Lepisosteus oculatus: one gene and its partner. The protein of the gene in region 2 interacts with the protein of the main gene of each other region in a pairwise test. Links are inferred from orthologs where the notes say so. Each region holds a gene or a part of one and is shown on either strand. Other genes may lie near its edges.

Region 1 (7,426 bases), about 3.2 Mb from region 2:
AACGCAGTCATTATTGTCGATAAAATGGAAGGAAAACACTGTTAGTGCTGTTAGTGGATGTCTGGGACAAGATCCGATCCTCCTGTCCCCAGGATGGAGAGGGGCGCTGTGTCTTACCCCTGCTGGATGGGCTGCAGCTGCAGGATGACCTGTGTCTTGGTGCTGTCAGCGGGGTCTGCCCCCTCTCCTGCCGCCTTCACCACCACCACGTCGCCCATGGAGACCGTCACCTCCGTGTTCGCCATGGCTGCCTGGCCGAGTCGCAGGGCCCTGCGGGGACAGTGACAGGACTCGCTTGGTGAAACCCACCCATCTCCCCAGCAAGCACCTACCGGCGCAGCTCAGTGTGCAGAGTTCCAGGCCTACATGCCGTCAAGGAACTACAAAAGGCAGGGAATGGATCAGCATTACAACGCCGGCAACCTATTCTGTCCCAGTCAGATGCCAAGATACTGGGCAAGGCCTTTTTTCCTCAAGACTGGACTACTGTAGTAGTCCAAGAACACTTAATCGTGCACTACACTTCATAGTGCACTACGAACAGACTTCAGCATGTTCGAAATGAAAGCACACTTAGAAGAAAAAGAAGTTATTTCAAAATAATTTATTCACAGTACTCCTTTGGTGGTTTGTCAGATTCAGATGTAAAAGGTGACACTGGGGTGTTGTGTGACTGAACAGGTTAGAATGTAAGTTTATTCAGTGCTGTTAATTTCCACACTAGAACGGTAAGCTCCATGGCAACAGCTCTTTTTCAGCTTAGCAGTTTATCAGAAAATTACTTTTGGCTCTTATGTGCACCAAATTCCCTGCTACTAAGATGAACTGAAAAGTTCATCTCTTGTTCTGGAGTTCATCACTACTCACAGAAACAAGACAAATTGGGGGCCTTTCGTCGGTTACATTCAAACCCTCTTTTGTAAAATAAAATATTGTATTGTAATAAAGACTTATATTTTATAAATTTCTAGGTTTTTAACTAGTATTCCCTGCAATTCCCTATGATTGATGCTTGTATTATATCTATTAAGCTACCAACTGCAGTTAATATATATATAGGCTAACGTGATATATTCAAAGAAGCCAAATGAATTACATAAATGGCATCACTATCTCCCCCTACTCCCCCTATTAAAGCCTCGTTTCAATTTAGTTTTCAAATCAAAGCACAAAAAGACAGCATTCCAAGAACTCAAACAGGCAGGTAGCCTGCATACTATGTAAGACAGTATTACAGTTTCATAAATGGAGACATTACTGAACTGCTTATAGCATCTTTTCCACTTCATTAATTTTAAACGATTTACCAAGACATTGTCTTTCTACATTAAACATAATAATAATAATAATTGCTTACGCTTATATAGCGCTTTTCTGGATACTCCACTCAAAGTGCTTTACAGGTTTTTCCTGTTTTTCCCAGGAGGTCCCCCATCCAGGTACTGACCAGGCTCACACTGCTGAGTTTCAGTGGGCTGCCAGCTGTGAGTTGCAGGGTGATATGGCTGCTGGCCATATCTTATGATCTTATGATCTTTAAAAGACTTTACAACCTGTTCTTTTAAACCCTGACCATTTACACTTTCCAGTCGAGCACATAAAGAATCGTAACATATAACAGTTCTTTTGCAGGGACAGGAATTAGGAGACCAATATACATGGGCTGAAGCCTCTGTTTATTAAAAAAAATAGTTGTAGTGACCAGCGAGCACTCTCTTAACTTCTGTTGTTATTAAAGCCAAATGTCCAGAGCAGAACGCTCCAAGCAACATAACACGTTTTGACCTCCTGCCAAGTTCAGCAACTGAGCCCAGCCAGCCAGACCAGACTCAGAGGGCAACAGGTGACAAGATCAACGAAAGGAAAAATACAAGTGAAATTTATTATCCCACCACAGCTGTGTGAATCTGGCTTAACTCCTAAACACTACCAATCCTCCCTTGGAATGCCTTATCCCTCCTCCAGCATAAGACACCGTGCTAACTTGCTAAATTCAAGACCGGGCTTGCTAACCGTGGGCTACGCCAATACGAATTGCAGCGTGTAACATAAAAGGCACAGATTTCAAAAATCGACAGCGAGTTTTTTCGAAAAAAAGGGAGGGGACTCCAGTTACTTTCAAATTACGTGACTTTGTTGCTTTTTGTTTTGAAAAACAGGCAACGTCTCCCACGCAGCGCACCAAAACAGCCGGTCTTTTGTGCAACGACGCGCTCGCTGCTCGCTGCTCGCTGCTCACCTCCTCTCTCTCTCTTTTTTTGTTTTTTGTTGCTTTAACCCAGACATTGCTCGCGTTTATCTGCGCCCGGGCCGTGTGGGTTAGTCAACGCTGCCCTCCTCTGCGCCAAGATCCCCATGTGAGAGAGAGAGAGAGGTGGTGGTGGGGGAGAGACTGTTCCTGTTGCACAGCAAATGGGCGAGAAAGGCAGACGAGCACAATCCCTCCCCTCGTCCTGCTACACTGTACAATGTAACACTACCAACAAAGGTTAACAACGCACGGCGCGCTGCCTGTCTGGCCCCGGCCGCCAACGTGCCTCCGTCTTTCTTCTCCCTCTCTCTCTCCCTCCGCTCCCCCTCTAACTGACGTCTCCCGGTGCGGCGGCACGTACACTAACAACAAGCGCCGCGGCGACGGCGTTGCTCCGCTCCAAACGGCCGTCCGCGCCGCTCCCGGGGCATTACCCCCGCACAGACCCCCTTCCCCGCCCTCCCCCGGCGCCCCCTTCCCCCGCAGCCGCCTCCTCGCACCCCGCTGCAGGCGGCGGGGCCGCGTTTACTCGACCCTCGGTGTCTTTTCTTACCGTTTTACAGCTGCGAACACATCCCCGGAGCTTCCAGGAGAGCCCTTTGAGCATGCGCCGTGCCGCTCGGCTACACTTCCTGCTCCGAAGGCAGGGAGCAGCGCCTGGCTGTGCACCATCTGTCCCTCCGACAGCCGCCGCGCTGGGCGGCTCGGGCGGGCGTGAAGTTTGCAAAAATAGACCGCATTAGCACATTGGATGCCCACAAAGGTATCGTGGCTTGCGAAACGCCAGACAGGCACACATGGCCTTGGGAAAATGTGCGTCAAGTCATTATGTTTTATGCAATAGCTAGTTATTCATTACGGTCGTTTTATTTGCAGCTGACGAGCCGTACTGTGGAGATCACTCAATATCTTATACAACCGCGCATATGTTGCCAGTGCCTGTTGTTATTCGCGTTCAATTTTAAGTATTAAGTTAGCATTGATCTCTCTCTTACGTAAAGTTAGACAGGTAAAGTAATACTAATCCTAATCGATATTTTTTCCTTTCGATATAGCGTGAGATGAGCCCAACTCAGTTCCGTCTGTCGGAACTCTGAGGTTTCGCTGTGGATTATTTCATTTTAATCCTGCCTGAGACGAGACTGCTTGTACCTTAACTATATGTGAACACTATTGTCAAGCTTTGCATTCTGTCGTGATTAGTAATCGTTTTCCGATTAAAAACGGTGAATGTACTGGTTTTCAAATAAAATATGATCAATCCTTCCGCCAGATGTCAGGCTTTTTCAACGAATGCTGTTTAGGCATCAACAGGAGTACACGTACGTTTTTAAGGATATTTTATCATTAAAGTATATCAGTGGTGTTCTCTAGTCTGCTGAATTAAAGGCATGCAATTAGAATGCTGTTTAATGCTTTTCACACTGTTGCTTTTATTGAATTTTTAGTGGGACTCGGGTTTTGCTCTTGGATAAAAAATTTGGCATCAATTTCCATTTTCTTCCAGGAGGTGCTTCCAGTAACAAAGTTTGACCTGACACGTTAGTAAAGCACTAAGCATAGCAATCTTTTGAGCACTGGTCAAATCATATTCAATAGCACTTTATCCTGATAGAACCGTGTTCATTCAGGCATGCAGAACAATCTACACACAAAGAACGCCTTCCTGTGACTACAAATAGTTGCACCCTCATCAATGTTTAACACAGATTTATTAAATGGAAGTAATACTATTTGTAATTTACTCATTTAAGACACCGTGAGCACTCAATTTTACAACCGTGGAGTATCCGTGAGAGGCGTACACCTGTCATTAATTCGTATCATTACAGTGTTAGAACTGGTAAGTTCAGCCAGTTTATTACGGGCCAAAACTGTTCAGACAAAAAGTGGTATGGACCCAGAATGACAAGATTGTATTATTAGTTTTGCTATCAGTTTAACAAAATTCCTCCTATTATAGGTGCACATCGATTTTGCATGCGTCCAAATTATACAAACTTTCAACCATTATTCCAGCTTTTGAGGGACAATTTTTATCCGCTAGCCGCATTGATAAAGGGGCCGGCTCACAGCACTTGTCTGACCTCTGACACAGAGGTCTTAGCTCTAGCGTGTGGGCTATTTACAGAAAGAAGACAGTCCTATCTACAGTACAGCAGGGCAGTTATTCACTACTGGCAACAGAAGATGAACAATAATATTATTTGCATTCAAATTCAGAAGAAAGCAGGTCTTCGGAATGTGAGCGTACAAGAGGCTGTCGAGCTTTAGGAATAATATTTGTATTAGTTCAGTTGGGTAGCTGCGTCAGCATGCGTAGGCTGTAAAGGAACAAGTAATAGGTTTATTCCATGCTGAAAAAAGAAGAAAACACAATTGTTCATATTTCTATTATGTATCTACGTTAATTAAGTCACGGTGTTATGTAGTTAAATCACCCAATAAACTCGATTCTACCATAAAATGTTAAAGAAAAGCAACCGCTAAGCCGGGATAGTGAAGTTCATTGAGAAGCAATACATTACACTGCAGGATAAGAGCGATAATTTTCACAGAGTGAGCAACAAGTGTTTGTCTAGATTTCTGATCAAACTGTTCTCAAGAGTCCAGGGAGGGAGAGAGGGGGGCTTGAGGATCTGCTCAGCAATGACTGTTTTCTAAACGCATGCTGCCCCCGCATCCCTCGGAGACTAATTATCCATGATGTCACTAAAAAAAACGGGGGAATAATTTGTAACACAGCAAAATTCCCGCAGAGGCTCGACCTTATTTGGACAAGGGTTCTTGGAACTGGGCTGCCTGACTGGCGTCGTCCCCAGCCAATCCCGGAGCGCTAGCTGCGCGCTCGGCCAATGGAAAGTAGTCAGCGCCTCGGTTGTTTGATTTGTGTCAAGTAAAGTTGCAACCTGGCTTGTATTAAAGAATAAACTGTAACTGATGGCTGATTTGCAGGGGTCGCGGTGTTGGAGATAGCTCATCTACACCATGTATGCGACACCTGGAAGCGTTTTGGACACTGTCGATTTTGTAACCGGATTTTTGCTGATTTTATTTGTTGAAACTCAGGGAATTCACGGGCAAGAAGGTAAGTCGTTTTTTTTTTTGACGTTCCTATCACTCGATTTTTACATTCAAATGGTCAGCAAACAGGTCAAGACTAAACCAGGCATTTATTTTTCTTCCTTTCTCCCGAAGCGTCTTTCAAACCCTGAAAGTACCGTGTTTTATCCTGTCGGGGTCAGCTCTGTGGGAAGTGCAGTTAAACTGTACTGTTAATGAATAACTGCTTCTCGGATACTGGGTTTGTTCGACACTAACATATGATTTCTGTTGTAGTCTATACTGTTCAGACAATTTTCATTGCGTCCAAGTACAAAAAAATAAGAAAAACTGTGTTAAAATAGCAAAGCGACAACAGCCCTTTCGCTGTCCGAGAATAATTTTACAGACGGTTCTCACTGTTCAGGAGAATTAGTAAAGGGAGTAAAATAAGCACCACGAGTTTGATATTCTGCAGAAGCACAGTGTTTATCTGAGCTGTAAATTATCATGCGTCGCTGAGGTGAGGACAAATACACCTGCCCGCACTGCGTGCACTCTGGGGAGGAATCTAAATTGTAGTTTGGAAAGGATGAACAACAGTACATACTGTACAGTACAGTTCACCACCAAGAATGTCTGTAGATCGCGAATGGTTCTCCTAGCGCTTTTGTTTTTTTCCCCATTGATTGCTTTATTAATTATTCTGTAGGGATTTGTAATGGCCTACCTGGCTCATACAAACAATATATATCAATGACTTCTTCTGAGCATCGGAGACGATGCAGAGCAGTTGAATATTGTTTCACCAGTACATAAACTGATTAGTATTGCCAATTAACATAAAGCTTTGTCAATCAAAACAGTTACAGTTACTGCCATCAAGGGCTAAGAGCAATATAATGTCGTATCGCTGTTTTGCTAAGAATACGAGCTGCAAAAAGAAATAAAAATGCAAAACGAAAAAGCAGTAGGACGCGCAAGAGTGTAGCCAAATAACTATTCTAGTGCTTCACAACACGCCGCTTGGAATTCTCTGGTTTTGACAAGGAATATCACTAGATTTTGTAAGATCTTCTAAAAACGACAAAGATACGCGCGTATTGATTTGAAGTGATGCACAATTCACTCCTTAACACATCGTTCGGTGCAATGTTAATCAAATATATCAGGTTATAATTACGAAACAAAAATACTAATATTTAATATAGGTTGAACTGGATATATGGCGCATTTGTAGGACTCGATCTATTGTATGCAGCAATTATGAATCGCGCATTCTGTATATATTAGATCATTGTTCATACACCTCATCATAATGCATTGCATAATTTTTGGGGATTCGTTTTTTTATTCCGTCAACATTTGTAGTCCTTTCATTTTTTCACCTTAAGTAATTTATGGGGGAAAACCCTTAAAACTATTATTTTTATGATGCGTTTCCTTTACTACGCAAGAGAGTGGTTGTAGAAATTAAGAATGATTTTCATGCTTTCAGTACAGTTGTGGCTGAGCTCTGACTGTAAAATCTCGCAGAAATTATGGATAGGACCTTGTGTGACTAATACATTCAAAAAGAATTGGGTGCTAAGTGCACCCACAAAATCTGTTGTGCCAAATTTGATGTGAGCAAAATTAGTCAGCTCGCATGTTAAAAAAAACAAGTTTGATTAGACAGTTACCTTATTGTAATATAGGTGCTTTTATAGTAATCGGTTGTTTTACCTTAACATTCATTGGTTGTTTTGGCCTGTTAAAAGAAATGGTATTGAATGATTAAACTTCCGGTGAGGTGAAGCAGACTTATTACACTGTAAACACGCTGGCTTGTGAATACATCTCTTTTAATCCATATAACAATATTGCTCTCAACCTCAAGACAGTTTTGCCGACAAATGCTACTCACTTGTTACCTCTGGGTGCAGATCACTAGGAACACTTATGCAGTGAAATGTCAGGTGCACAACCTGAACTTCTTCACTGGTACATCACATTACATTAGTCATTACAGTGACTAGTGAGCAGGAAGGGCTGCTTCATGCAATTCATACAGTTCACATTATATTCTTGCTCTTGCCTGTAGCCAGACCAGGAGTTCACAAGTTTGTGTTTAATTCAGAATTTGTAAAATTT
Region 2 (7,246 bases):
TCAGCTATATTCACCACAAATGGATTTTTCTTGGTTGTTCTACATGTAGGTGTACTTCGTACTGTACCGTGACTGCGTTGTGTGTCCGCCTTCTTACTTAGCAGTTCCTTGTAGATGTTAATGTTGTCCTGCAGCAGCAGAATCAGTCCTACCATGCTGTACTGTAAACACCGTGCGTGTGGTCACACTGCACAGTGGCAAGCCATTCTCTGCAGCTGTTGCTCTGACCTGCTGCTCTCCTGTTTGTAGATGTCGATGATGTTCTCCACCAGCAGATTCCTCTGCAGCCCGTAGACCCCGTGCCGGTCCAGGACCACCTCGTGACGACATGATGGACACCGGAAACGGCCTCCCGAAATATTAGTACCACGGGACGTCCAGTACGGGTTTGCAGCCTGGAACAACCAAAAATGTGGAATCAGCAAGCCAGTAGGGGAGCATCTCGTGGGCATTAAATGTCAAGGCAAAGTGGTCCCATTGCCGATACTTGCTGGCAGGCACAGGCAAGGTGTGTCTCATTAGAATATTCAGTATGTCAAGGGACGTTCTAATGGTAAGGCACTGCAGTCCCAATATCCTTCTGTTTCTCCAGTCACTGGTTTCTACACAAAGAATGGGACTCTGTTGTTAATTAACAACACTTCTAGTTTCTTGGAAAGGGATCACAAATAAAATTCCATTATTATCATTATTAAAAATAAACTTGGTGGTTCTGGCTCTGAGTTACAACCATGGTTGCTGTAGATGAACACTGAAAATGGATCATGTCATGATGCTGAGAGACACAAAGCAGGTTAACACTGAATTTTAATAGGCACAGCAATTTTAATAGGCGCCTTGCGCTATGCTCGTCTGTCAATGTGCTACCCCACTTTAAGTCAGCTGTGTACAAGGAGCTCTTCTCAGGGCTTGGTACTGTCACCACTCCTCCCAGTGGGAGTCAATTGCTACAGTGGCTACAGCCAGCAAAGTGATCTACTCCCTCCATCTGCAGCAAACAGCAAGTGTTTACAAGCTTACTGTAACCATACCAGCGTTCTATTTTTGGGTTAATAGAAATGCTTGGGGTTAATGTGACCACAAGCCCAGAAAAACACTGGGAAAGTCAGTCATTCTGCCATAATCTGTTTTTATATACCACCTTTCAAGATCTCTTTATGAATGAACAAAACATTCTAAATTCAAATCTAACTCTAACTGTAGAGTATGTTCAAATAAAAAAAATAAATTAGTGAATACAGAAGTTTATTATTTTTATTTTTGTCTTATATGCAATACTGATTAGAGTATTGATAGCACTGACACTGTAGTAGTCAAACCTTGGTCAGTATCATAAGGTATTTCCCATTATAAACAGCCATTTATAGCTTATTTATAGCTAATACTTATTTAATTATCCTTATTTATAGCTAATACTAGCTAGATACTACCTTTGATAGCTTATACTAATCTTACTATCTTTGCAACCTTTTCCCAAAAACTGTACAGTAACTATCTGTTATAATGAGAGCTTAACTGATTATGCTGTTTAGGTCTTTAAAACATCAAAAGGAAAACCTATGTTTGATTTATGGTATAACTCTGTAATCCTTTGCATTTGTCATGTCACTATGAACTGGACTAAAAAACCGAGATGCTGAATATAAATCATATAAGTGTGGATTTCAAATTGAAAGCCAGCTTGTTTTACATGGTCAGGTTTACACAAGCATCTTAAGGGGAGAAGATGAGACTGATTTTAAAACAACAATTGTGGGAACAATGTGTATTTCAACTGATTGGAGTGCCTGCGACATAACAGCATTGCATTTTTACATGCAAGATCTTACATGAATATTAGCTATAAATCAGCTCCAATATGTCTTCTGTTGCTTATATCATACCCTCAATTAAAATCTTAAACTTTTTCTCAAATAGAACTATTCATGGAAAAGATACAATATTAAATCAAACAGACATTTCAACACACCACAGAAATAGACCCATGTAGTCCTTGATGACCTGCTTTAACAGCTTTTGTTCTCTCCACCTAGTCTCTTGTCCTTCCATGGATAAGGTGAATGGCTCATTCCAGGACATCAGTCATTTTATTATTCTAGCTGAAAGACTACAGAAACAAAGCACACTGTATCCTAAGACAACCTTTGCGTTCTGTTCAGCGTGAATGGTAACACGTTTGGCAAGCCAAAGGCTAGACTATCTTTCTCTAAGGCAATCCTGGAATTACTTTGCATGAGAATTCTGGTTCTATTTTGGTGGCTATGACCCGCATTGCCAATCTTACAAATGACCACATAAAAAAATCTGCTTCTTGCATTGTCCAGTTTTTGCAGACAGCCTTTGGACAAATAGAACGAACTACCCAAGCCAGTAATTGAAACTTTGACTCGTCTTCTTCTGCATGAAAAAGATTCCTTAAGAGCTAAATTAAAGTGTGTCCTTAATGTTAGAAATAATAGATTAAACCATTGCATGGAATTACACTGGGTTCTGATTTCAGTATTTAAATCACCTTTTCCTGACAAATAATTTTCACAGGATAGATGCATAGCTAGGTAGCAGAAAGTTTGAGCAACAGCATGAGTAAATAAAAATAAGTGACTAGAAATTGATGTTTCTCTACATTCTTACTGCAAAGACTGAAATTCTGGTCTCCAAGCACTGAGGTACATAGCTCACCTGAAACACATCATTGGCACATTTTCGACACAGGTTGTGTTGGCAAGGCAGAATGACCACAGGCTTGGAGAAGATCTCCAGGCAAATGGGGCAGATCAACTGCTTCTCCAGGTTCTCCATCCTGTTGGACTCCTGGATGATGCTCGATTGGAAATCCATGTCCTTAGATTTATAGTTGTTTAAACAGCTTCTTGGCCTTTATTCACACTCTTTTCCGGGAAAAGAAAGAAGCTCCTTTTTGTTATAACTCCTCTGTCTTTCCGAATCATTGCAGGCATGTGGAGAGTTTTGCCTATCACCCAGCGTCAGGCTCTATTTATACCCCTGGATGGAGTCACTTGATCCCAGCCCTGCTCCTGTGCATTCCTGGGGTCTGATAGCTAGCCTAGAAAAATCAGCTCTCTGCCTGTCCTTATCACATGCTGCCCTGAGGAATGCCTCTGCAGGATATCTCTCGTAGAACCCCTTAAAGGGATAGATTACAATAAATCTGGTCATTTTCCCTGTAGTTGGCTTATTTCACACACTGCTGTGTACAGTATGTTCTTAATGATTCTACAGGGTCTCGAAGAAAGCTCCTACTGTTTTGTTTTGTATTTATTGCTTATTCTGAGTAAATCATGTTAGTTTGCATTTATTAACAATATCTTACCAATACTTTTGTGAACCTATGAATATGGTACAAGATTGTTTCTTCTTTAATGTAGAAACATTTACAATAGAATATGTGCACCATCCACTGTGAGAATGTGTCACTCTTGACATGAAGGCCTTGTCAAGTAGTTGCATACAACAGGTCTTCTATAAAGCCAAATACAACTCCTCATTTGCACATGCATTCCTGTTTGCTTTGTCTGGGTTGGACACCCAATAAAAAACAGTTACACTTACTTGAATCTCGAGAATATGCAGGCTGAAAACAACCAACACTGTATAATCTTGAATTGAAATGATCTAATTCTCAAAAGTCTTAATCAACAGTTGACAAAAGGGGGCAAAATTAAAACTGGGCCAAATTAATCTGTGAAACAAATAGAGAAACAACACTTTTCCTGCCCTATCCCTAACCCAAGCCAGGGTTTAGAATGAGCAAATCTGCAATCTGTCTCTAAAGCCCTCAAATTATCAGATTTTAAAATGTTTCAGAAACCAACAGATATGAGGAAAAAATCAAAACTACTGAAAAAAGCTCTTGGAAATTTATCATCTTTAAGACTCCTTTAGACACATTTTTCAATCAGCTGTGAAACACTAAAAATGGTCTTCAAGATGATTGTGCATTTCAGGCTAGATTAGGGTTAGGGTAACAAGAACCCCTTAAAAGTTGACAGCAGTTAAACATTTATTTGCACTTTGACAAAATTAAGAGAGTTTAAACAGTAGAACAAGTTTTTTTACAACTTTTGATCTGGGTCACCATTGCAATACACTTACTGAACACTGTACAACATGAGTAGCCAAAACTCTCCAAAAAAAGAAGAGCAAATTATCAGCACTGAGCATAAAAAATGTGTATGTAGTGTACGAATGCTAACCCTAACCCTAGCCAGGGTCCGAGTTAGCAATTCTGTAATCTGTCTCTGAAGCCCTCAAATCAACAGATTGGAAAATGTTCCTCAAACCAATTAATATTAGAAAAAATAATCAAAACCACAGAAAAAAGCTTGTGGAAATGTTTCTTCTTGAAGACTGTATCTTCTTTAGGCAAATTTTCAATCAGCTGAAAAACGCTATTACAATAGTATTTAAACAATTGTGCATTTTAAGCCAGAGTAGGGTTAGGGTTACAAGAACTATTTAATATTGACTGGAGTTATAATTTTAGTTGCATTTTAAACAACAAAATGTTTTCTTACAACTTTATATTTGACTCACTTTTGGAATAGATACCGAACACTGTAATAAACAATATGAGCAGGCAAAAATCTTTGAAGATAGGATCAAATTATCAGTCGTCCTAAATTTCACCTAAGCCCCCAAATCCAGCGGTGATCGTAAAATATGTGTAAGTTCTGTGGGAATGCTACCCCTAACCAAATCCTGCAGATTTGAAAATGTTACTCAAATCAATAAATATATGTCTAAAAGCATTAAAACCACTGAAAAACGCGCTTGGAAATTTACCGTATCTTCTTTAGGTAAATTTTCAGATAAAAAAACGCTGGCATTTCAGGACAGAGTAGGGTTAGGTGAATAGAGTTATGGTCTATCCTAGCAAAGCAAAAGATGCAAGTCAGGATACACATCACAACCAATTTTCTCACTAGTCAGAAATTCATCAGTCCCATCCATCTTCAAACCTCTTCATCCAATTCAGGGTCGCAACGGAGCTAGTGCCTGTCACGCCAAGCAACTGGTGCAAGGCAGGATACACCCTGAATGGGATGCCAGTCCCTTGCAGGGCACACATAGACACAAACACCCACACACATTCACGCCAGGACCAATTTTCCTTAGAGCCAGTTACTCAACCAGTATGTTTTTGGACTGGGTGGAAATCAGAGCACCCAGAGGAAACCCACAGAAACATAGGGAGAACACATGGTGAACATGCAAACTCCACACAGAAAGCACTCCAGATCAAGCCCCAGCACCGTGAGGCCGTAATGCCAACCACTGCTAAGTGGGACATCTGAACATATTGAGCTAAAATAACAGGATGGAGTTACTCTAGTGCACAAAACTGTTGATCAGCATGACTAAGACAAACAAGTCAGACGATTCTATTTTGTATCAAAATACAGCAGAGACAGTGGTTTCTAGGGAAGAGGAGATAATAAAAGCAGTTCTGCCTGTATGAAAAGGGGGTCACAGCATATGCATCCGAAGCCGATTGTTACTTACTGTACAAGTCTGCTCATGCAGTCTCGAGACCTTTGGCTCAATTTCCTGCCCATAGTGTCAGCCAGGCTAAGCTATTTCTGGCCCTCCCACAGACTGTAAACTCATAACAAGAATAACAGGTTGGCAGTGTCATGAGTATTGAATTTTACTGTCATAGCACAGAAAATATAAAATGGAACTTTCAGTTGTAATACAGTGAAAGAACAACAAGCAAACTACAAAAACTTTCTATGCACATATACAGTTGGTGGTAGAATAAATACTAGGTGTTCTATCAATCGCCTTTTTAAAATGGTAAAACATTAACAGGAAAACTTTCAAAACATTTTATTCCAGTGCAAAATGTGTTTCTCTCCCTATTTGAGTTTATTTAAACTTCCAAAGCTACATTTAAAAAAAAAAACATAATATTTTACACATATTGCCTCTGGTCTATCTGGTATCATCATATGTTCAGTATGTTAGGATTTAGAGTTCTTTTAGAGCAAAAAACATCAATCCCCCTGTTAGTTTATTATAAAGCAACAGAAACTCACTTTCTTGAGTGGAATTTAGCTAGGACATTTGTTAAACACATCTACACCTATGAACAGTGGCATGACCTTGTAGTCAGTACAGGTACCTTTAACGCCTCATCCAAAAGACTGTTCCTCTTGTGTGACCTGTCACCATACTAGAGCATTGGTTCAGAGGGAAGCATGTTGCATACTGGTACACCACCACCACTTATAGCTGCAACTTCTTCCTTGCAGGTCTTCCATCTGAGTACTGACAAGACCCAACCTTGCTAAGCTTCTGATGTGAGGAGATATCAAGCTAAATACTGGTAACGTTGTCTATTGATGTTATGGGCCCAAGGAGCTTCAGTTGTATTACTGTGTATCATTCACGTGCTGAAACAGAGGGATGCCAGATCACCAGTTCAAATATCATTAAAATGCAAACCCACTCTCATAACATGAGCATAAAAGTACTTTATTAAACACAGGAAATGGCAGTATATACATACATGTAATAGCACCTTTTGCCTACCCGGGCTTTTGTGCAACGTAGGCTGTTGTAAAGTACAGAGGACATATGTAGTTCATGAAAATTCAATGCTTCGTTCCCCGCTGGAACAATTTTTCTTAGAGAGCAGCCATTTGTTTTTTTTACAAAAGACTTTACATAACATTTATTACAAGAAATATCATATCACGGTTGACACATTTTTCAGACCTGAGATCCATGCAAGATAAAGGAGAAATTACAAAATATTTTTTTTTTATCAGCTGTCCAGAATTCTAAATAAAAAACATACATCTGGTACACCTGTGGCTGGTACTCTTCCAACAGAAGGTCTGTTATTTACTGTAGTCCTGATGGGCGCACACCTCTTTTCCAGTTTGTTTTTAATAGCGGTATTGTGCTTCTATACTCTCAACTTGACATTCTTTGCATAAAAAATCCTATTATTACTATTTCCAGATTTTTGACGTGGCCACTGAGACTGAGTCACAGCTAAAAGCCGACACCATGTCACACTGCACTGCAGGCTGCAACCAGTCTGAAGCTTTGGTGTGGATCTGAAGCTTTGCTCTATAGTCTGTACCACTGTGACCTCTTGATGTTAACGGGAAAATGATTTTTTTCATTCATCAAAAAGCAAAGAATAGAATAACACAACAGTAGATTTTATAGGAGAATAAACCTCAGGGGAAGCATGATGAAACAAATGTGTACA

What was found. The genes of interacting proteins can lie anywhere in the genome.
Region 1: the proteins of E3 ubiquitin-protein ligase TRIM63 (region 2) and gmeb1 interact in a two-hybrid assay, tested with the Homo sapiens proteins (2 studies listed by BioGRID and IntAct). The link is inferred for Lepisosteus oculatus from reciprocal best matches to the Homo sapiens genes TRIM63 and GMEB1.

Annotation. Positions count from the first base shown.
Region 1 is NC_090706.1:5,832,333-5,839,758, reverse strand, and holds the start of gmeb1 (glucocorticoid modulatory element-binding protein 1), read right to left. Parts: upstream 3,009-7,426; 5' UTR 2,924-3,008; coding exon 2,805-2,923; intron 2,686-2,804; exon of another isoform or gene 2,613-2,685; intron 2,441-2,612; exon of another isoform or gene 1,358-2,440; intron 271-1,357; coding exon 118-270; intron 1-117. Other genes in the region: discoidin, CUB and LCCL domain-containing protein 1, read left to right, coding at 5,240-5,339. UniProt on the Homo sapiens protein: Trans-acting factor that binds to glucocorticoid modulatory elements (GME) present in the TAT (tyrosine aminotransferase) promoter and increases sensitivity to low concentrations of glucocorticoids. Also binds to the transferrin receptor promoter.
Region 2 is NC_090706.1:9,007,960-9,015,205, reverse strand, and holds the start of E3 ubiquitin-protein ligase TRIM63, read right to left. Parts: upstream 3,014-7,246; 5' UTR 2,839-3,013; coding exon 2,680-2,838; intron 396-2,679; coding exon 229-395; intron 1-228. UniProt on the Homo sapiens protein: E3 ubiquitin ligase. Mediates the ubiquitination and subsequent proteasomal degradation of CKM, GMEB1 and HIBADH.